Arabidopsis thaliana: one gene and its partners. The protein of the gene in region 3 interacts with the protein of the main gene of each other region in a biochemical or structural test. Each region holds a gene or a part of one and is shown on either strand. Other genes may lie near its edges.

Region 1 (3,364 bases), on a different chromosome or scaffold from region 3:
ACTTAACTTGCAAATCCAAAGTTAAGCTTTCCATAGCTTTGTTGCTTTTCTCTTATTTTCTTCTTCTTCTTACAGTTTTTTCCTGTCTGAGTTTGTCATTGGCTTCCTTAGTCGATTTTCAGCAGATCATCAAGAGCTCTAGCTTTATCTTTCTTAAGCATTGCTACTTCCATATTACCTCTCCTAAAACCCTCCTGAATCTGATTCAGTTGAGCAGGTACCTCAAAATTCCTTCACTGTTATTACACGTTCTGAAAAATGCCAAAAACAATATGATGATCAATCAATTAACTAAATTGGCCAGACTAGTTCACATTGGTGTTGGCCAAAGCGATTTCCTACAAAGAGTCTCCATCAAACAAGATGAACCACAATGTCAAAATCAAACAATGAATAAAGATATCTCCAGATACATGCTTAAGAGTTAAACAACTAGCCAAACAGTTTAGCCTTAATTTTCAATGAAATTCATGATCCATCTCAATTTCGATCTCTAGTTATAAATAGTTAAACAACTATCCAAACAATAAGATCCTGAATAGTTAAAACAACTATCCAAACAATAAGATCCATCTCAGTTTCGAGCTCTAATTATCAATAACTAGATCCTGAGCTTCTAGATGAAAATAGGTATTTCTATTATAATCCAAATACACACATTTCTCCACCATACATTTACTTGTCACACAAGTTACTAGCTTCCATTGATTATTAGTTTAAAACTACAATCAAACGAAGAACCATAATCATCAGAGACACACACACACAAAGTCAAGACCCAGAGAGAACTCAAATCAAGCTAAATTGGCTTAGCCAGAGATATCAATAGACTTAACTTGAGCCTTCTTCTTATTAGTCTCCACTTTAGGCACAGTCACAGTCAAAACACCATTCTCCATTGAAGCTTTAACTTGATCCATCTTCACATTCTCCGGTAACCTAAACTTCCTCGAGAATCCCCCACTCGATCTCTCTACACGATGCCACGTGTCCTGCTTCTCCTCTTTCTCAACGTGTCTCTCTCCGCTGATCTTAAGCACACTATCATCCTCAATCTCTACTTTAACCTCTTCTTTCTTCATCCCCGGTAAATCCGCCTTGAACACGTGCGCCTCCGCCGTCTCTTTCCAATCCACACGTGCGTTTGCTATCGCCGACGAAGACGATGACGGGAATTGAAGTTCCTTGAATGGATCCCATACGTCGAGTGAGAATGGATCGAATATGTTGTTGTTGATTCGCCTGTTGTTGCCGAAGAAGCTTGGAATCAGCGACATTTTCTCGGTTGATTTCGAAATCTGAACAATTTTCCGACGAATTGAATTTCGAATTTATGATGAAAGCTGGTGAGTTTGCTGATTCTATTTATTGATGAAGAAGAAATCTCCAGAGCTTCTAGAAATGAGGCAAATCCAGAAAAGTCTAGAAGCGTTCCAAGTTGTGTGTTTATGGGCCATAATGGGCTCTAAAGGCCCAATATTTAAATATGAGCCGTGTAAAGAGTTTTAATCAGTTGCTAAATATTTTTGTTTTTCCATAAAGGTTATTCAAACACAAACATGTTTCCCATAAACGTTGTGCGGGTTTTTTCCTAAGAGAAAACATGATTACTACCATTACATGCAGTCCTCTCTGAAAATAGAGAACTATTCTTTGTCTTGGATGTACTCATAAATATTTTAAATTAAGAACTTATCAATGCAATCTTTTGTTGAGAAAAGTATGATTCGAAGATTTAGTTTGTTATTAGATATATAGATGTTAAATAACAGTATATATGTCATCCTAATATTGAGAAAAATAGAAAGAATAGTTCATTTCACGTTTGGTTACGCGTTAAGAAACCGTGTTTGCTTGACTTGCTCATTAGCTCATGTGTAACATTGTGGTTGTGGATATAGTTTCCTTCTTTTAATTATAATCAGGATTGAAATAAAAGAAAATCTTACGGAATCTAGTTTTTTTTCCTTTTTGCTTGTATATTCTTGGTTCTTCTTCTAAGTGGCCACCAAGTTACACAAATATTTTATTATCTTCCTGACTTTGAATACCTTATTATACACGAGTCTCTGATACTTACTTCAAAGTCCTAACAATTTCCCATTACTACATAGAGGATTTACTTAACTATTCCTTGCGTACGTTAGAATCCTTGTTGGTATATTGAATCTGTTTTGATGTACAAAGACGTTCATAAAACGAGAAACAAGTAAGATAATATTTTGACCAACAAAAAAAAATTGTAAGATAATACTAAATTTGACATATTCGATGTTTAGAAACAAAAAAAGGACATAGTCTTACGAAAACTAGAAATTTTGGATATAAACTAATAGTAAATGTAAATTTTGTGGCAGGTAGTGAAATATGACAAGTTTAAAAGGCAAGCCAAAGACGAGTCTTGTTTAAAAAGGCCAAGTACCAACCGTAGTAGAGTCATCTTCATAGCCTTTTTTCTGCCGCCAAATCTTAGTTTCTCCACAAAGCTTTTTCTTCTCTCCTTCCATGGCGGATCTCTGAAAAAGTCTCCGGACATTTTCACAATGCCTTCCGTTCAAATCCGTTCTTCTCCGTCTCATTCACAGCCGGCTATGACGGTTACTGATCTCAAGCAACGAGTCATCGCTTGTCTCAATCGTCTCTCTGATCGCGATACTCTTGCTCTCGCTGCCGCAGAGCTTGATTCAATCGCTCTTAATCTCTCACCGGAGACTTTCTCTTTATTTATTAACTGTCTTCAGAGTACAGACTCTTCCGCAAAATCTCCGGTGAGGAAACATTGCGTTTCGCTTCTCTCTGTTCTTTCTCGTTCTCATGGCGATTCTCTCGCTCCTCACCTCTCGAAGATGGTCTCCACCGTTCTCCGCCGCCTCCGTGATCCTGATTCCTCCGTCCGTGCCGCTTGTGTTGCCGCTTCCGTTGATATGACTACCAACATCACCGGACAGCCTTTCTCCATCCTTTTCGGACCAATGATCGAAACGGTTATCCACGATTGCGATCCCAATGCGCAGATCAGCGCTGCTATGTGCCTTGCTGCGGCGGTAGACGCAGCAGATGAGCCGGATGTTGAGCAACTGCAGAAGGCCCTGCCGAAGATTGGGAAGTTGCTTAAATCGGAAGGTTTCAAGGCGAAAGCGGAACTTCTTGGAGCCATAGGAACCGTAATCGGCGCTGTTGGCGGTCGAAACAGCGAAAAGGCGGTGCTAGACTGGCTTTTACCAAACGTCTCGGAGTTTCTAAGCAGCGACGATTGGCGTGCGAGGAAAGCTGCTGCGGAGGCAATGGCTAGAGTGGCTATGGTAGAAGAAGAATTAGCTCCACTGTATAAGAAGACATGTCTAGGTATTCTTGAGAGCAGACG
Region 2 (7,624 bases), about 16 Mb from region 3:
GGATACTATCTTCACGGTTACTGGGGGATTCTTGTGGACAGATATGAAGAAATGATAGAAAACTACCACCCGGGTCTAGGAGATCACAGATGGCCATTGGTGACTCACTTTGTCGGTTGCAAACCGTGTGGGAAATTTGGTGATTACCCGGTGGAACGGTGTCTAAAACAAATGGACAGAGCCTTTAACTTTGGAGATAACCAGATTCTGCAAATCTATGGTTTCACTCACAAATCTTTGGCTAGTCGTAAAGTCAAGAGAGTGCGGAACGAGACTAGCAATCCGTTGGAGATGAAAGACGAGCTCGGGTTGCTTCATCCGGCGTTTAAGGCGGTTAAGGTACAAACCAATCAAGTTTGAATCGGTTTTGCGTTTAGGATTTGTGTTATGTTTCTCGCTATATTTATGTCTTGTGTCTTTGCTTGTTGTTGTACTAAGATGGATGATAAAGTATTGTGCAGAGACATCAGTTAATTCTTTGGTTTTACTTTGTCTCTACGTCTAGAGTTCTATTACGAAATCAAAATGTTGTTTTTCTTCCTTTTTGTTCTTTGTAATCCATTAGAACTTGAGATTTTGTAGCTTCATGGATCAATAATCTGTGTTAATTCAAGAACTTTTTTTTAACCTGATTTCACATTCAACTAATTATTTACTTTTAGTATGCAAAATGTGAAAAAATCACATTGAGTTAGTATAGTTCTGAGATCATATTCACAAGTTTTGTGTAGTTTAGGAGTTTAATTCGAAAAACAAAATTTGGCATGTGGTCAGATTCTTTTGCAGTATGGGTTGTTGTATCTGAAATCTGAATGTCTTTAATTGATAATAAAATCATGTATACGGGCTATTATTAGGGGGAGGCCTTATAAAAGCCCATCTGAAAACTAAAATCACGGCCTAATATATGGAATCCGTGTTATACAAAAATCCAAGATAATTCGTAGATAATGGTGAGAAAATCGTTTGTGGCCAAGCAATTTCGGGTAGGGAGGATCAACAAAGATACAAAAAAGATTTCTTTCTTCTTTATAAAACCCAAATCTCAAAATGTTATCTCGTTTTTTATTTTAAATGTTTTATTTTATTTTGTTGTTGTGTGGTTTTTTTGGTTTTTAGTAAAGAGAAGATATAACAAAACCCTAATTCTCATGAGTTCAAAAACCCTAGATTTAGTGAGCCCATCAAAACATTTTCCATTGGGGAAGATTTTAACATTTGGAGAATTGTGCATAATAAAAACAAAATATTAAACAGTAAATACTTTCCAAAAAGTGACTAAAATATTCTAAATTTACTCAACAAAAATTGAAAATTCTTGACAAAAAAATTACTGTTTTTTAAAATGATACAATGTTTTTCAAATTTTAACCACAAATGATTATTGTACTTCTTCCTCAAATAAAAAAAGAAACTCTATATATTTTGGCTTGAGCCAATGAAGCGACACAGTTTAAAGCGTAGCACAAAAGAGAGCCCTCTTGGAAACTTCACCAACATAGAAGCGAGGGTAATTCGGTAATTTCATCATCATCCTCAAAACACAAACTGAGAAGATAAAATCCCAAGGCAAAGAAGAAAAACGAAGAGTCATTTTTTGTTCGCCGAGTGACCTTATCTCTCCCAATTCTCTCTTCTTCAAAAGAGAGAGAGCAGCCAAATTCTCAATCATAAAAACCTTCACACAAAAAAGGGTAAATTCCTTTAAACCCTATCTATCTATCGCTATCTCCTTCCTCCACAAGTTTGGCGGAGAAAGAGTCTCAGTAGCAAAGCGGAAATGGACTCAAAGTCGGTTACTCCAGAACCAACCAACCCCTTCTACGCTTCTTCGGGGCAATCAGGTTTTTCTTCTTTCTCGTTTATATCTTCTTTAATCTGCGTTTTTGGGAATAGGGTTTTAATCGGAAGGATATTTTGTTATCAGGAAAAACCTATGCTTCTGTTGTCGCCGCCGCTGCTGCTGCAGCCGCCGATAAGGAGGATGGTGGTGCTGTGAGTAGTGCCAAGGAGTTGGATTCCTCATCGGAGGCTGTGTCTGGTAATTCGGATAAGGTTGGAGCTGATGATTTATCTGACTCCGAGAAGGAGAAGCCGAATTTGGTGGGTGATGGGAAGGTTTCCGACGAGGTGGATGGTTCTTTAAAGGAGGATTCTACTACTCCTGAGGCTACTCCGAAGCCTGAGGTGGTTTCTGGTGAGACAATTGGTGTAGATGATGTTTCATCGTTATCTCCGAAGCCGGAGGCTGTTTCTGATGGTGTAGGGGTTGTGGAGGAGAATAAGAAGGTTAAGGAGGACGTGGAGGATATTAAAGACGATGGTGAGAGTAAGATTGAAAATGGGAGTGTTGATGTTGATGTGAAACAGGCTTCCACAGATGGGGAGAGTGAGAGTAAAGTGAAGGATGTGGAAGAAGAAGATGTTGGAACAAAAAAAGATGATGAGGGGGAGAGTGAGTTGGGTGGAAAAGTTGATGTTGACGATAAAAGTGATAATGTTATTGAAGAAGAGGGTGTGGAGTTAACTGATAAAGGAGACGTCATTGTGAACTCGTCCCCTGTAGAATCAGTGCATGTTGATGTGGCAAAACCAGGGGTGGTTGTTGTAGGAGACGCAGAGGGAAGTGAGGAGTTGAAGATTAATGCTGATGCTGAAACTCTTGAAGTGGCTAATAAGTTTGATCAAATTGGGGATGATGATAGTGGTGAATTTGAACCTGTGTCTGACAAGGCCATTGAGGAGGTAGAAGAAAAATTTACTAGCGAATCAGACTCTATTGCAGACTCCTCTAAGTTAGAATCTGTGGATACCAGTGCTGTAGAGCCAGAGGTTGTAGCTGCCGAGAGTGGGAGTGAACCAAAGGATGTGGAAAAAGCCAACGGATTGGAGAAGGGTATGACTTATGCTGAAGTAATCAAGGCAGCTAGTGCAGTAGCTGACAATGGAACCAAAGAGGAGGAGAGTGTGCTCGGTGGCATAGTCGATGATGCAGAAGAAGGTGTTAAGTTAAACAACAAAGGAGACTTTGTGGTGGACTCATCTGCTATTGAAGCTGTGAATGTAGATGTGGCAAAGCCAGGGGTTGTTGTTGTTGGAGACGTAGAGGTGAGTGAGGTGCTGGAAACTGATGGCAACATCCCTGATGTGCATAATAAGTTTGATCCAATTGGCCAAGGTGAAGGTGGTGAAGTTGAACTTGAATCCGATAAAGCCACAGAGGAGGGAGGAGGAAAGTTGGTTAGTGAAGGAGACTCTATGGTTGACTCCTCTGTGGTGGACTCTGTTGATGCTGATATCAATGTTGCAGAGCCAGGGGTTGTGGTTGTCGGGGCGGCTAAGGAGGCTGTAATTAAGGAAGATGATAAAGATGATGAGGTTGACAAGACCATCTCAAATATTGAGGAACCTGATGACCTGACTGCTGCATATGATGGAAATTTTGAATTGGCTGTTAAGGAAATATCAGAGGCTGCCAAAGTAGAGCCAGACGAACCAAAAGTAGGTGTGGAAGTAGAAGAATTGCCTGTTTCTGAAAGTTTAAAAGTGGGTTCAGTTGATGCAGAAGAGGATTCAATTCCTGCAGCTGAGTCACAGTTTGAGGTTCGGAAAGTTGTCGAAGGGGACAGTGCTGAAGAGGATGAAAACAAGCTCCCAGTCGAAGACATTGTTTCTTCTCGTGAGTTTAGCTTTGGAGGCAAGGAAGTGGACCAGGAACCTTCTGGCGAAGGTGTTACCAGGGTTGATGGGTCTGAAAGTGAAGAAGAAACTGAAGAGATGATATTTGGGAGTTCTGAAGCTGCAAAACAGTTCTTAGCAGAGTTGGAAAAGGCTTCTTCTGGTATAGAGGCACATTCTGATGAAGCAAACATTTCTAACAATATGTCAGATAGGATTGATGGCCAGATTGTCACCGATTCTGACGAGGATGTAGACACAGAGGATGAAGGTGAGGAGAAAATGTTTGATACTGCAGCTTTGGCTGCGCTTTTGAAGGCAGCCACTGGTGGTGGAAGTTCAGAAGGTGGCAATTTTACCATAACATCTCAGGATGGCACGAAGCTTTTCTCTATGGATCGACCTGCTGGTTTGAGTTCATCGTTAAGGCCCTTGAAGCCTGCAGCAGCTCCACGTGCAAACCGTTCCAACATCTTTTCCAATTCTAATGTCACAATGGCAGATGAGACTGAGATTAACTTGAGCGAGGAAGAGAAACAGAAATTAGAAAAGTTGCAAAGCCTCCGTGTGAAGTTTTTGCGGCTTTTGCAAAGGTTGGGTCATTCGGCAGAAGATTCAATTGCAGCGCAGGTTCTTTACCGTCTTGCACTACTTGCTGGGAGACAAGCAGGGCAGTTATTCAGTCTTGATGCTGCAAAGAAGAAGGCTGTGGAGTCTGAGGCTGAGGGCAACGAAGAATTGATCTTCTCCCTAAACATACTGGTCCTTGGAAAAGCCGGGGTGGGAAAAAGTGCTACTATAAATTCCATTTTGGGAAACCAGATTGCGTCCATTGATGCTTTTGGGCTCTCAACCACTTCGGTTAGAGAAATTTCTGGAACGGTGAATGGTGTCAAGATTACCTTTATTGATACTCCGGGTTTGAAGTCTGCTGCGATGGATCAAAGTACAAATGCAAAAATGTTGTCCTCTGTAAAGAAGGTAATGAAGAAGTGTCCCCCTGATATTGTACTATATGTAGATCGTCTTGACACCCAGACCAGGGACTTGAACAATTTGCCCTTGCTAAGGACGATTACTGCTTCTCTTGGTACATCCATATGGAAAAACGCTATAGTGACATTGACCCATGCGGCTTCTGCCCCTCCTGATGGCCCATCTGGCACCCCATTGAGCTATGATGTGTTTGTAGCGCAGTGCTCACATATTGTGCAACAGTCTATAGGACAGGCTGTTGGAGATCTACGCTTGATGAATCCAAGTCTGATGAATCCAGTTTCACTTGTTGAGAATCACCCCTTGTGTAGGAAGAACCGGGAGGGAGTGAAGGTTCTCCCGAATGGCCAAACTTGGAGATCTCAGCTGTTGCTATTGTGTTACTCCCTGAAGGTTTTGTCAGAAACAAATTCTCTATTGAGGCCTCAAGAACCATTGGACCATCGTAAAGTATTTGGTTTCCGAGTTAGATCCCCGCCTCTCCCTTACTTGTTGTCTTGGCTGTTGCAGTCCCGTGCACATCCTAAGCTCCCTGGAGACCAAGGTGGTGATAGTGTTGACTCTGATATCGAAATTGATGATGTGTCTGATTCTGAGCAGGAAGATGGGGAAGATGATGAGTATGACCAGCTGCCACCATTTAAGCCTCTTCGAAAAACCCAACTTGCAAAGCTCTCAAATGAACAGAGAAAGGCATATTTCGAGGAGTATGATTACCGTGTAAAGCTCCTGCAGAAGAAGCAATGGAGAGAGGAATTAAAGAGGATGAAAGAAATGAAGAAAAACGGGAAGAAGCTGGGTGAAAGTGAGTTTGGTTATCCGGGAGAAGAAGATGATCCAGAAAACGGGGCTCCAGCTGCAGTGCCAGTTCCATTACCCGATATGGTTTTGCCACCTTCATTTGATAGTGATAACTCAGCTTACCGATACCGATATCTGGAACCCACTTCACAACTCCTAACCAGGCCAGTGTTGGATACCCATGGTTGGGACCATGACTGTGGATATGACGGCGTCAATGCAGAACACAGTCTTGCTCTAGCTAGCCGGTTCCCTGCCACAGCTACTGTCCAAGTCACCAAGGACAAGAAAGAGTTCAACATTCATCTGGACTCCTCTGTGTCTGCTAAGCACGGGGAGAATGGATCCACCATGGCAGGGTTCGATATTCAGAATGTAGGCAAGCAGCTGGCATATGTGGTCAGAGGAGAAACCAAATTCAAGAATTTGAGGAAGAACAAGACAACTGTTGGAGGGTCAGTGACATTCTTGGGAGAGAACATCGCCACTGGGGTCAAACTCGAGGACCAAATAGCACTGGGGAAAAGGTTGGTGCTTGTGGGCAGCACTGGGACAATGCGATCACAGGGAGATTCGGCCTATGGTGCGAACCTCGAGGTCAGGCTTAGGGAAGCTGATTTCCCAATTGGACAGGACCAATCTTCTTTTGGGCTGTCTCTGGTAAAGTGGAGAGGCGATTTAGCCCTTGGAGCCAATCTCCAATCTCAAGTCTCTGTTGGAAGGAACTCAAAGATTGCGCTTCGTGCAGGACTTAACAACAAGATGAGCGGACAGATCACAGTCAGAACCAGCAGCTCGGATCAGTTGCAAATCGCTCTCACAGCCATTCTTCCAATTGCCATGTCCATCTACAAGAGCATTCGACCCGAAGCGACGAACGACAAGTACAGCATGTACTAAATATGCTGATGAATGCTGCAGAATGATCTTTTCTTTTATTACTGGTTTTTAGTTCATGTTTTTCCCCCACTTTAATAAAAACTTTGTTGAAGTTTATCAAAGTTGTATTTTGGTTCTGTTGAGAGGTTCCCATCGGATTTAATTTATCATGTATCAGTAATTCTTCACTTTCATTAGCCCTTCTCAGCTTCTCTTGCTGTTCTTCAGATAATGGAATCTAGTTCAGTCTTCTTTTGGTCTACGTCTCATGCTAATGATGTTGCTTGGTTTGAGTTTGCTAATTTGTTACTAAATTTCTGCAGAAGATACAAATCACTCGGTGAAGAATCTTTAAAGCAGGTGCGTAGCCTGTAACTGTTGATAAGATTTTGTACTAGAACCCTCATCTCATTGTGTTCTTCACCAGGATCTTACTGTTCTTCCTTGGTCCCTTGAAGGCAATGGTATGTTTTTTATAAAAATGCTTTGTAATAGATTTTCATTCTTATATAATATCTGGAAACTATTGGAGTATCGTGGTGAAGTAAACTTGATGATACTAGCAGACAAAACTCCGAATAAAGGATATTTCTTGGTGGACTTAATCTTTATGGTTTATGTGAATATTTGATGTAGCAAAGCCTCTAACTTAAAGGATGACCAGAGTCTGCAAATATATGGCTGGCTTTACTCGCAATTCTTTGGGTAGCCACAAAGTCATCAGAGTAATGAGACGAGCAAACAGTTGGAGATAAACACTAGGTGGACTTTCTTCACCCTGCGTTTACGGCGGTCAAGGTACAAAATTGATGGTGAAAAACACAAACTTGCTGCTCTAACCGTTTCTGTTATTTATAGAGAGGTGAATAGGTCCAGAAATCTGATGTGTTTTGTTTTGTCTGATTTGAAGCTTACGTCTATATTTTACTTGTCATTTTCAGACATGACAAAGCAAGGAAACTTTAAGGATAAGAACGTTCAAAGTCTTCTTAAGTCAACTTCTTTCGCCAGGAGAAACGTTCCAAAGTAAGATTTCCACCAGACTAAAGTCCTTACATACTATTCTCACTAGTCAGTATCTCCATAGTTAAGACATCGCAATCTTTGCATTAGTTAACTAATTGATTTATTTTAGAATAGCTTGAAGATTAGATAAATAGTTTTTGCCAAAGATACTCTCAAGAGCATACACACACACTCACATAACTGAAAGAAAACAGAGGATACAACAGAAAGAAAGTACTGAGAAATTGGGCAATGAGAAAGCCGC
Region 3 (4,558 bases):
TTGACCACCGGGAGCGATGTCGTTAGCCATCCATCCTTCGAAGAGAAGAGGTTTAAGTTCAGCCCTAGCTGCGTAAATCGCCGCCGTGTGTGCCGCTGGGCCACTTCCTACGATACAGAGCCTTGTGTTGTGAGTTTCGAGACCATTCATGACGGCGGATGAAGAAAACGCGGCGGAGGCGAGAGACGGCGGTTGAGAGAGAGTGGATTCACCACCAAGCCGTGCAAAGCTTCGTGCTTTGCTTATCAAACACTTTAAACGACTCACACAGTTCATTAGGAACGAATTTACTTGCAAAGACAAGACCTTTGATTCACACCAAAAAAAAAAAAAAAGACAAGACCCTTGATTTTGTTTTGATTCTCAAATATTTTGGGTTTTGAGCTTTGCGTAAATATTGTCAAGCTTGGGAATTTGGGCAATACAGTAACAGAAGAATGGAATAACTTGGAGATCAAGTAGTTTTTCTTACATATCCTCCAAACCAGAATGATTCTTCCAAATTGAATCATTCTGTAGAGGTCGACGAAATAAAGAATATAATCATAAATTAAATCATTGATTGCTATTTCTTTCTTTATTGACTTTTAAAACAACATAAGAGACAAATTTAGAAGAAGAGAGGAACTAATAAAAAGTGTACACAAAAAGCCTGTGAAACTGGTTCAGGACACACACAAGACAAATGCCTCAAAGACAATATGAGCTTAGAGCTTTCCTTTAACCAGCAGAGCTCAAAGGAAAGCATCCTTCTCAAGCAGCTTCACCACCTCCAGCTGGCTGTTGAGCTTCGCTACATCAATTGGCGTCTTCTCGTCTAGGTTTTGCAGAGTGCTGCAACCACACACATCAACCAAAGCACATATAATTAAAGTCCTGAAACAGTGTTTAATGGAGTTGTTTCATTATAAGTACTGTGTTGTGAGACTTACACTGCAGCACCATTCTCCAGGAGAAGGCTTACACACTCTTTCCTCCCGTAACCAGCAGCATAATGCAGAGGTGTGTTCTTGTTTTTGTCAACCGCATTAACACTTGCTCCAGCATCGATAAGAACTTGAGCACATTTCAACTGTTGATAGGGCTCAACAGGGTTAAACTCAGTTCAATCCATATTCATAAGCAAAATCTTTAGTATGCAAGTAATCGCCAGTTCCATCTCATTGCTCTTTCACCAAATATTTGAACTTGCTATAAGTAATTGTGTCATGAAACTCGTAGACGTAAGTAGACTGGTTACTTTTCTACCAATTGAATGATTATAAAGATTCTTAACTTCACAGCTACTGAAAAAAAGAGAACCATCTAAATCCGAATATTTAATTGCCGTGAATTGATAAGAGAATTGCATACCTCGCCGTATCCACAAGCAAAATGCAATGCTGTCCTTCCTTCAGAATCTTCTTCATCTTTGTTACCACCAGATGCCAAGGCAGCTTTCAAACCCTAATGAATCAACGAATAAAAATCCAATAACGAGTTCAACAAAACAAAACTTGGAACATCTAATTCCTCAAGCAACACGCAAGATAAATCTCACATGGTCAAGCATATTAACGTAGGAAGCAGTCTAACCTCAACATCACCAAGACTGGCAGTTTGGTGAACAATAGACTCTTCTTCTTCACCTTCTTCTGCTACCTCAGGTTCAGCTGAAACAGTCTGGTCTGGTAAGCCAGCAACAGGCATACCCATTGCTTCACCCAGCTTTTTCAGCACTTCTGGATCATTCCAGTACCTAAAACAGAATAAATAATTCTTCCTTCATAAACAGAAACAAACTCTACAGTTTCTCTAAAAAACATTGAAAGAAGTTTGTATCACTCACTTCATCATGGCAGAAGGACCACCAGCATCAATCTCATCTAGTATAGGTTTCAACTCTGGATCTTCTTTCATCCGCGCCATACGCTCAGTAAAGTGTTCTGCTGTTTCAGGATTCGAGAAAGCATCCAAAAAAGGAGACATTTGTGGATCCTGTAGGCAAAAAAAATAAATAAAATCAGATAAGACACAGAGCTTCATTCAAAGCCACACCTCGATTAGATGGAAAAAGTCATCAATTCCTAACCTGAACTAAGGCGGTACCAAGTTTCTCGGCCATTGTCTTAAACTCAGGGTTATGCATAACCTGTTGCATTGTATTGACATACTGTTGAGGATCAAAGTTAGGGAAACCACCTTCCTGGCCAGCGTTAGGAATAGATCTCTGAAGCTGCTCAGCCAATTGGTTAAACGCAGGATCTTTAGCTATTTGCTCAGCCATTTCTCTGATGCTAGGATCCTACAAAAAAAACCATTATCAATTAAAAAAAAACTCAAAGAAGATAACTTTTCAATTGTGCTAACAGCAAAGGTAACTTACGTTGAGAATACTAGCCATATTAGAGAAATCAAAAGCATTGAAATTCAAGCCAGGCATAGCTGATGAAGTTGAACTCCCAGAAGCTGATTCCGGCTTAGAACTCTTATTCTCCTCCGTCGATTTGGGTTTCTCATCTACAGTAAACAAATTACAATGAACCAATAACCAAATCTGACTAGAAACGATTCATTATCGCAGATCAGATTGTATACTGAGAAGAAAATAATCACCTGAAAGAAGAGGATTTTTCTCCGAATTGGAAGCCATTAAGTATGACTAAAACCCTACAAAAAACACAATTTTGTTTTCAGGAAAAGGTGTAAACAAGAGATTCAACGAAAATAAGCGAAGAGGAAGACAAAGAAATCGAATCGACAACTACCTAAGAGAATTTAGTAAGAAAAGGAAGAAGAAGAAGAAATTAACCCGAAAAGACAATGTTGTGGTGGCAAACGCTCATGAAACTTGAAATACAGATAATCTTTCTTTTTTTTAATATGACGACAAGAGAAAAATTATTTATTTATCAGCTGGATTTTGGATTGAGAAGAAGATCAACTGCGAGGGACAACAGCCACTGCTTCTCCATTGAAGTTTGAACCTAAAGCTAAGAGGCCTTTTATTTTTAATCAAATTTATTGTTATTGGCCCATATAAACCTGTTTACCTCAAGGCCCAAGCCCATGCGTTTGAATAATAAGATCAGCCACGTAAGATTTGTGATTTAAGATCAAATTATCCGTTAATGGATAAACACGCGTCACTTCACGGAAGCAGCCGTTCATGGCAGCCACGCTTCCACTCTGTGCTGCCCTCCGATCTCCCGTCTCTTCCCGGAGATTCGCTCCAATTCACAAAACCGACGTTCCTTTTCAGTTCAATGTCGTCCTTTCACCGTTTTTCGGTTCCGTCGCTATTGGCGGTAGAATTTTCCCGCGTTTACCGGCGGCGAAGCAGGAGACTGATCAGGATGAGGTTGGATTTGATCAGCAGCCGTCTCAGGAGCTTGCGATAGCGTCGGCTTGTTTGGTTGGTGTTCTCACTGGAGTTAGTGTGGTTCTATTCAACAACTGTGTTCACTTGCTTCGAGACTTTTCCTGGGATGGGATTCCTGATCGTGGAGCTTCGTGGCTTAGAGAGGCACCGATCGGTTCCAATTGGTTGCGTGTTATCCTTGTTCCGACTATCGGCGGTTTGGTGGTGAGCATCCTCAATCAGCTTCGAGAATCTGCTGGAAAATCTACTGGAGATTCTCATTCTAGTCTCGATCGCGTAAAGGCAGTGTTGCGTCCTTTCCTTAAGACTGTTGCCGCATGTGTGACGCTTGGGACTGGAAATTCGCTGGGGCCGGAAGGTCCAAGTGTTGAAATTGGAGCGTCAATCGCTAAAGGTGTGAATTCTCTGTTCAATAAAAGTCCTCAGACTGGCTTCTCACTTCTTGCCGCTGGCTCAGCTGCTGGCATTTCCTCTGGTTTGTTCATCTGATATTTGCTAATGTTGTTCTCTCTTGCGTATGGAACTCTTGATTGATTCGTTAAGAGGACTTTGTTATATGTTGTTACAGGGTTCAATGCAGCTGTGGCTGGATGCTTCTTTGCAGTTGAATCCGTTTTGTGGCCTTCTTCATCAACTGATTCATCAACTTCACTTCCAAACACAACTTCTATGGTTATTCTTAGTGCTGTTACTGCTTCTGTGGTTTCCGAAATCGGTCTCGGCTCTGAACCTGCGTTTAAGGTTCCTGACTATGACTTCCGCTCTCCTGGAGGTAATATGCATTGCCATTCTTATGCTTTTTACGCAAGGGAACCAGAAACCAAACTTATGAGAGCTGGTCACTGATTTTCAGAACTTCCACTCTATCTTTTATTGGGCGCTCTGTGTGGCTTGGTCTCGTTGGCATTATCTCGATGTACATCATCCATGACATCTGCTGTTGACAGTCTTAACAAGGATGCTGGGATACCAAAGGCTGTATTTCCTGTAATGGGTGGATTAAGTGTTGGTATCATAGCTTTGGTATACCCTGAAGTATTATACTGGGGTTTTCAGAATGTGGATATTTTGTTGGAGAAACGTCCATTTGTGAAGGGTCTTTCAGCTGATCTTTTGCTTCAGCTGGTAGCGGTCAAGATAGCTGCAACCGCATGGTGTCGGGCTTCTGGACTTGTCGGTGGATACTATGCTCCTTCT
Region 4 (6,139 bases), on a different chromosome or scaffold from region 3:
ATGTTGTAAGCATCTCTCTTTTTGCCTATTTTGTTGGTCAATCTCAACAAGCCTCGTCTTAGTGATCTTTCTTCAAGTTTCAAGAAATAGGTGTCCAAAACATCCTCGATATCATAGGCGATATCTAAAACCAGTTTTGTCCACTCTTTCGAGACCTCATCTTCTCTTTCTCGAGCTTCAACATCCTTAAGATAACCATGGATGCACGTCAACTCCGTCTTCAGCTCCTCTAGATCATCTTTGACTCCCATCAACGCCAATACTTCATTGATGAGATAGCCGCCGATCTTATTCAAAACGAAACCAGTGACAGCATCTACCATCTCAACAGAATCAAATTGAAAGATTTCAAAATATGGAGAAGATTGAAGATATGCTTTGTTTCCTAATGTCAACAATTTCAAGTTTTCGAAAGCCTCTGACACTTGACTTTGTAGATGTTTGGTGTTGACATTTGATTAAATTCTATTGCACTATCCCTTATTCGTTATTTTTAAAAGAGAACTCAGATGCAGACAGACGTGTTACCAATATAAATTTTCATTTGTCAACTATTCATACGATTTTTTGAAACTTGAAAGTTTCAAAATTTTCCTACAAAAGTCTAGACATATTACGAAGAACAAACTCTTTCCCGATTCTCAGCACAACTCAGCAACGTCATCAAACACTAACATTAAACAATTATTGAAAAAGAAGTAGAAAAAAAAAAAGAAAACACAAAAGAAAAGGAAAAAAGAGAAAAATAGCAGATCCTCAACAGAGAAAATGAAAAGACTAAGGTGGATAACATGAGCCTGCTTCTCACATTACCTTAATACCTCTCTCCAAATCGGAAGAACAGAGCACCGGTTCCATTGTTGTGATCTACAGCATACTCAGCTCGGACCAAACCGAGTTTCACACCTGCACCATAGGATGAACCCTGACCCGTTCTCCTGTACACTGCTGTAGGGTTTCCCTTCACATCCTTTGAGCTTCCTAAATCATTTCCATGCTCAACAAAAGCGTAGACATGTGTGTTCTTCACGGGTATTCTGATCTCAGCACCGACCTGTAATCCATGAAACCAAATTAGACACACATATTTTTCGGGTTTAGGAGAAAAGACTGTTTTTGTTTTGAGTGTTTGCTGTATTACCTCGGCAATGTTTCTAGCAGCACCGAGCTCTCCCATGTTGTAGCCACGGACAGAGTACGGACCACCGAGGACAAAAGCATCGTAGCTTGGAAGGTCGCCAACGCAGCCTCCGTAATGCCCATGGAGGACTAGAACTGGTGGTGGTGACTTACCAGCCCCTTGTTCTACTTCCCGCAACTGAATGAATTTTGTCATGGTTAACTGGTGGCGGTTGAAGAACGGGAATTTGCTCCCAATACCCAATCCCTGATCAACCTGTGATTTGCAAATACATTGTGTAAAGCTTACAATATACAGATGACTCATCCTTATAATCTCATTTGATCATTGGGAAAGCAAACCTGAAAGACAGTCCTCTGTCCAACAACTGCCCCATTAACAAATTTGGTATTGTCACGGGTGATGTTGGCTTGTAGAAAAGCCATTCGATCGACACCGGTACCACTGAGAGTTGTTGGAGGTCCATCAGCACTGATTCCACCGCTAGGTAGTAGTCTCTGACCATTTGCAGCAATGTGACTGCTTTCATCTCGGGTTGTTATCTCCTCCATCACAAGTCCATATGTAAACTTACTCTGACGGGTGAAGTTCTGCATGAAAATATGTTTCAGTTAAGTGTTTGTAGGACAAAATAAGTCGATTATGGCACTGAGGATTGGCAAGCTTACCTCAGTTATATTAGCTTTCACACCAGCTCGGTCAACCCAAATTGGTGGCACTTCCTCAACACCAGGTCCTCCAGTGAATACTGGGCTAAGTTTGCGGCTGTTGAAGCAGCTTGTTTTGAATGTTCGGTTCCGAGGATTGTAAACACCATCCAGATACGGGTGCACATACTCAAGCTTAAACGAAAGATCATCCTGAGGAAAAAATGTAACATAAGGTTTGTGCTTAGCACATAGAAACAGAAATAGATGGATGTTATCAACCGAAAAGTTGAACCAGAGATGTATCAATCATGTAAGCTTATCGAATGTACCTGAGGATTCAAGAAGTTGCTAGTGGTCACTGAACCCATGAGAGACCTATTAAGACCCTGGAGGTTTCGATGCTCGAAAGTAACAGAACCACCTGGCTGGAATGAAGCCTGATGCATATAAACAATAACAATCAAACTCAATGGAACTTCTCAAATTTTACAATCTGTACTTATTTCAGTAAGGAAGGATTCATACCAATGTGGGAGCTCCTCCACGCCCAGGAACAATACTCCATTCTGTACTGACTTCAGCTGACTTCTGTTCTAGCTCCTTAAGCTTGATCTCAACAATAATGCCCCCTTCATTTTTCTCATCTGGGCGTGGATTGACTTCAATGTTAGAGAACAGCCCCAATGAATTGATGTTACTGAGAGCTTTTTTCCCAGCTTCAATGTTGAAAACATAGCCTTGGCGAAGCTGTTCAACGAAACATCGAAACTATCACTAAAACTAACATAACAAATGAGATATATCATTACATGTCTGGAATATAAAACATTTGTACAATGAGTTCATTGAAGCAATTAAACCTCTTACATCCATCAGACTTAAATAGCAAGTTCAAGTTAAAAGTCTGTCAATTTTTTCCTGACATATCAATCTATAACATAACTACACTTTCGTCATCATCCTATACTAAATCATGATCACATCAACAATGACATATCTGACATAGCAGAACTTGAGAAACATACCTGCTTAGGCAATTCCCTGCGCACCACAGGAACTTGAGTATTTCCTTCAACCACATTACCAAGCTTATCTTGAAACTGAATAACTAGCTGAGTTATATCACCTTCCACAACTTCACAAACAACCTCCTTAGTATTCAAATTCCCAAAATTCACAACTTGAGCACAAGCATACCCTTCATCATGATACCATTTCTGAACACGGTCCCTAATCCTCTGCAACAGCCTAGCACTCACTTTCCCTTGATCCCTCAACATCTGCATAACCTCACCATACACAGGTGCAGGCAACAAACAAGGCCGTGCCCTATCAATTCTCCTCTTGTAATCCTTCTCCAAACTCCTGTAATACTCAAGCTTCTCTTTATCAGTCATATCTGAATCCATCTCAATAGGTTTCGACTGTACCATTAACCCAACGTTAATACATCTAAACCTATCAGCAGATTGCCATGTACTCTCAGCAAACGAGATTGTAACACCTAGGGTTCCATCAGGTTTCGTTTTCCCTTCCAAATCAACTTTCTCAAACATTCCACAAGTAGCTAGGGTTTCAAGCTCCTTCTGCAATTGAGCTTTAGTGTAAACTCCACCAGGACGAATCGAGACCATCTCGAAGAAGGAATCTTCAGTACCAATAGTGGTTTGTCTCCGTCGATCAAAGAACATAATATCAGATACCTTATACTTCTTGAAACCACTAAGCTTGTTCAATTGCACAACGATATTCGCCGGTAAACCATGAGAATCCCAATCCGGTGATTGTTCTTCATCAGCAACCGCTGGTGAAGGAGAAAACAATTTCCCCCAAAATCCACCATCATTTCCATCTCCACCACCACCTCCACCACCAAATCCACCGAAATTCCCATCTCCTCCTCCTCCACCACCGGTCAGAACCGACGGAAGATTCGAGATTCGGAACAGAAAGAATGAAGCAGCGGAGGAGACTGAGGCTACGGCTAGAGGTTTAGCTAGGTTTTTAAGGAGAGAATCCTTTGAGGAAGTCTCTGTATCTCGGTTAGGTAAGCTTTTGCTGCATTTTATCGATGGGACACGAGGAGATTGAGTGGAGATGCGAGGGAGACGAGACGAGGAAGGAGAGAGAAATTTCCGACGGGAAGAGAGAGAGGTGGAAGCAGTGGAGCTTGTTGCCGTCGGGATAAGCTGCCCGTTGACGGAGAAGGCGGCCATGGGCGGAGAAGATAAGGTTTCAGAGAGAAGAAGAAGCAAGTGAAGATTTTTGGCTTCGGCGAAAAAATGTACTTTTGGGTTTTAAGCAGGTAGAGAGACTTTCCTTTTAGACTACATTACGTTTTGTTTATTTAACATAGAACTGCGTGACGTTTACTTTAGTTAGAAACAGCACGCAGTTTCAGTGAGACAAATGAGTAAACTTCTGACTAGGTTCTTGAAAAATGTTTAGTCTGTGATAATTCTGTAACTTATGCATTTTATCCAGACAAATGTGTTCTTACATTTTTCTCACATAGTCTTAATATTTTGGTCATTAAAGTTCAGAGACAAGTTTTGCTTAAGTTCTTTAAACAGTGTATTTGTTATTTATGGTTCCAGTTTTTCTCTAGAAAACTCTACAAATGTGAGTCCTATAATTCAGCTTCAAACGTCAATTTCTCAGGCCAAGACTTTGTCTTCCCTTCATGCTTCTCCAATAAGAGACCATGACTATTTTAAGCATTTTTTTTTCTTATGGTTTGTCCAAGAACCTCGGAGAAACAAGACGACATGCACAGTTTTTCTTGTCTTATATCTATCTTATGTTGTTCTCAGAGGATCAGAGTTCCTAAACAGAACATCTACAAGAACTTTGTGTTTCTGAAATGTCGCGTCAACTAGACCCCGTCGCTGAGCTCGAAAGCTTAAAAACACATGTTGATCATTCTGGAAATCCTAGCTTCTCAACACTTAGCCAGCGTCACCAATGTAAGTCTCTCCAAGAAATGATAATATCCATTTTGTTTACTCTCAGTGATTTGATGATTTTGGACGCAAACTCTTGGTTTGAAATCTGTTTGTCATACTTTTTTTCAGCTGGTGAAGCTTCAAAGCGGTCACCTTCTGGTTCACCAAGAAAAGAAAATGATGGAGAACATTCTCACCATAAGAAATCTTTGTTCTCTAAAATGAAGGATAAGGCGAAAAAACTGCAGCACAGTCTCAGCACCAAGAAGAGACATGATGAAGAAGGTGATGCAACCATGTCACCGTTTTGCAGATCCGAAGATCATGAAGTTAGAGAAGTTGGTTATGCGTCATTGTCACCACGTGACAAGTCAAAAGACCGTAAAGTCAGAGAAGAAGGAGGAGAAGAAGAAGAAGAAGATCCTGAATATCTTGGAGCCCCAAGTAAATGAAATTGAACAAAGCTTCATAAGTAACAACCACCCTTTTAGGAATTTGCTTAAAACTGATCGATCTTCTTGTGTTATTTTCAGTGTATGAATCAAAGAAGGCACCTGAAGAGTTAAAGGAGACAGCAAGGCAGCATCCCCGAGAGAATCCTGTGATCACTGAGACAAATGTCTTGTCTGTTCTCCCAGCCAAACAGGACGCTGAACAAGAACAAAAAGATTGTAATGGTTCCAAAACAGAACATCCTGTGATCTCTGAGAAGAATGTTTTATCTGATGTCAAGCAAGAGAAGCCTGCTGATTCTGACACAACAACAATAGTAACAGAATCGTCTGAGAAGACAAGGAAAGAGTGCACGAGCCAGCAGGAACCTATTAGTCCAAGCAAGACAGTAACAGAAACTGTGACAGAGAAGCTAGCACCTGGTTATGCTAAAGTCTCTGACGCAACTCAAGCTATAACTAAGAAGATTCAAGATATGGCTTTTCCAGAACCAACAGAGCGAGAAGAAGAGGTAAATGATGTTGCAGAAATCAACACTGCCGGAACTAACCAGCCCACTGGCTTCAATACCAAGGTACGACAAAGTTCTCTATCTGTTTGTGCATTTAGGTAAATACATCAGTCAATCATCTTGTGTTTGTAACCAGGTATGGGACAAAGGCGTATCAATGAAGGAATACATATCGCAGAAGTTTGAGCCTAGCGAAGACGATAGAGAACTTTCTCGAGTGATATCTAAAGCTATCAGTCCTCGTAAAGGTTCTTCTCAGACTTCTAGTTTTGGTGCAGCCACAAACATGGCACCTGCTTCAAATTCAGCAGACAACAAAGCTCCTCTTGTAGCCAACACAAATGAAAGTGAGTTCCTCTTTTATTCCTCAACTATTAACAATTTGACACACCTGCAATTGTATTCTGATGCATTTGATTCTGCTGCAGTTGTTGAAGCA

Evidence for each region.
Region 1: the proteins of AKR2 (region 3) and AT1G59860 form a complex in vitro, tested with the Arabidopsis thaliana proteins (one study listed by BioGRID).
Region 2: the proteins of AKR2 (region 3) and TOC159 form a complex in vitro, tested with the Arabidopsis thaliana proteins (one study listed by BioGRID).
Region 4: the proteins of AKR2 (region 3) and TOC75-III form a complex in vitro, tested with the Arabidopsis thaliana proteins (one study listed by BioGRID).

The regions. Positions count from the first base shown.
Region 1 is NC_003070.9:22,029,387-22,032,750, reverse strand, and holds AT1G59860 (HSP20-like chaperones superfamily protein), read right to left. Parts: upstream 1,409-3,364; 5' UTR 1,278-1,408; coding exon 810-1,277; 3' UTR 501-809; downstream 1-500. Other genes in the region: AT1G59865 (uncharacterized protein), read left to right, coding at 112-217, 305-428; AT1G59850 (ARM repeat superfamily protein), read left to right, coding at 2,544-3,364. UniProt on the Arabidopsis thaliana protein: Possesses chaperone activity.
Region 2 is NC_003075.7:1,102,986-1,110,609, forward strand, and holds the start of TOC159 (translocon at the outer envelope membrane of chloroplasts 159), read left to right. Parts: upstream 1-1,580; 5' UTR 1,581-1,780; coding exon 1,781-1,844; intron 1,845-1,927; coding exon 1,928-6,375; 3' UTR 6,376-6,714; exon of another isoform or gene 6,715-6,781; 3' UTR 6,782-6,818; exon of another isoform or gene 6,819-6,990; 3' UTR 6,991-7,152; intron 7,153-7,295; 3' UTR 7,296-7,380; exon of another isoform or gene 7,381-7,624. Other genes in the region: XT2 (UDP-xylosyltransferase 2), read left to right, coding at 1-360. UniProt on the Arabidopsis thaliana protein: GTPase involved in protein precursor import into chloroplasts. Seems to recognize chloroplast-destined precursor proteins and regulate their presentation to the translocation channel through GTP hydrolysis. Required for chloroplast biogenesis.
Region 3 is NC_003075.7:16,837,936-16,842,493, reverse strand, and holds AKR2 (ankyrin repeat-containing protein 2), read right to left. Parts: upstream 2,963-4,558; 5' UTR 2,748-2,962; exon of another isoform or gene 2,650-2,747; 5' UTR 2,633-2,649; coding exon 2,596-2,632; intron 2,567-2,595; exon of another isoform or gene 2,500-2,566; coding exon 2,366-2,499; intron 2,285-2,365; coding exon 2,072-2,284; intron 1,978-2,071; coding exon 1,829-1,977; intron 1,763-1,828; coding exon 1,576-1,762; intron 1,447-1,575; coding exon 1,354-1,446; intron 1,073-1,353; coding exon 933-1,072; intron 835-932; coding exon 735-834; 3' UTR 545-734; downstream 1-544. Other genes in the region: NTRB (NADPH-dependent thioredoxin reductase B), read right to left, coding at 1-276; CLC-E (chloride channel E), read left to right, coding at 3,149-3,836, 3,930-4,133, 4,215-4,558. UniProt on the Arabidopsis thaliana protein: Exhibits chaperone activity toward chloroplast outer envelope membrane, mitochondrion outer membrane, endoplasmic reticulum membrane and peroxisomal proteins, by recruiting specific proteins containing a single transmembrane associated with an AKR2A-binding sequence (ABS) and subsequently binding glycolipids (e.g. monogalactosyldiacylglycerol (MGDG) and phosphatidylglycerol (PG)) present in the membrane of the target organelle.
Region 4 is NC_003074.8:17,215,290-17,221,428, forward strand, and holds TOC75-III (translocon at the outer envelope membrane of chloroplasts 75-III), read right to left. Parts: upstream 4,123-6,139; 5' UTR 4,008-4,122; coding exon 2,817-4,007; intron 2,539-2,816; coding exon 2,317-2,538; intron 2,229-2,316; coding exon 2,121-2,228; intron 2,002-2,120; coding exon 1,810-2,001; intron 1,732-1,809; coding exon 1,483-1,731; intron 1,397-1,482; coding exon 1,142-1,396; intron 1,055-1,141; coding exon 815-1,054; 3' UTR 524-814; downstream 1-523. Other genes in the region: AT3G46730 (NB-ARC domain-containing disease resistance protein), read right to left, coding at 1-323; AT3G46735 (uncharacterized protein), read left to right, coding at 1-5, 85-190; AT3G46750 (low-temperature-induced protein), read left to right, coding at 4,655-4,757, 4,866-5,180, 5,270-5,763, 5,837-6,047, 6,129-6,139.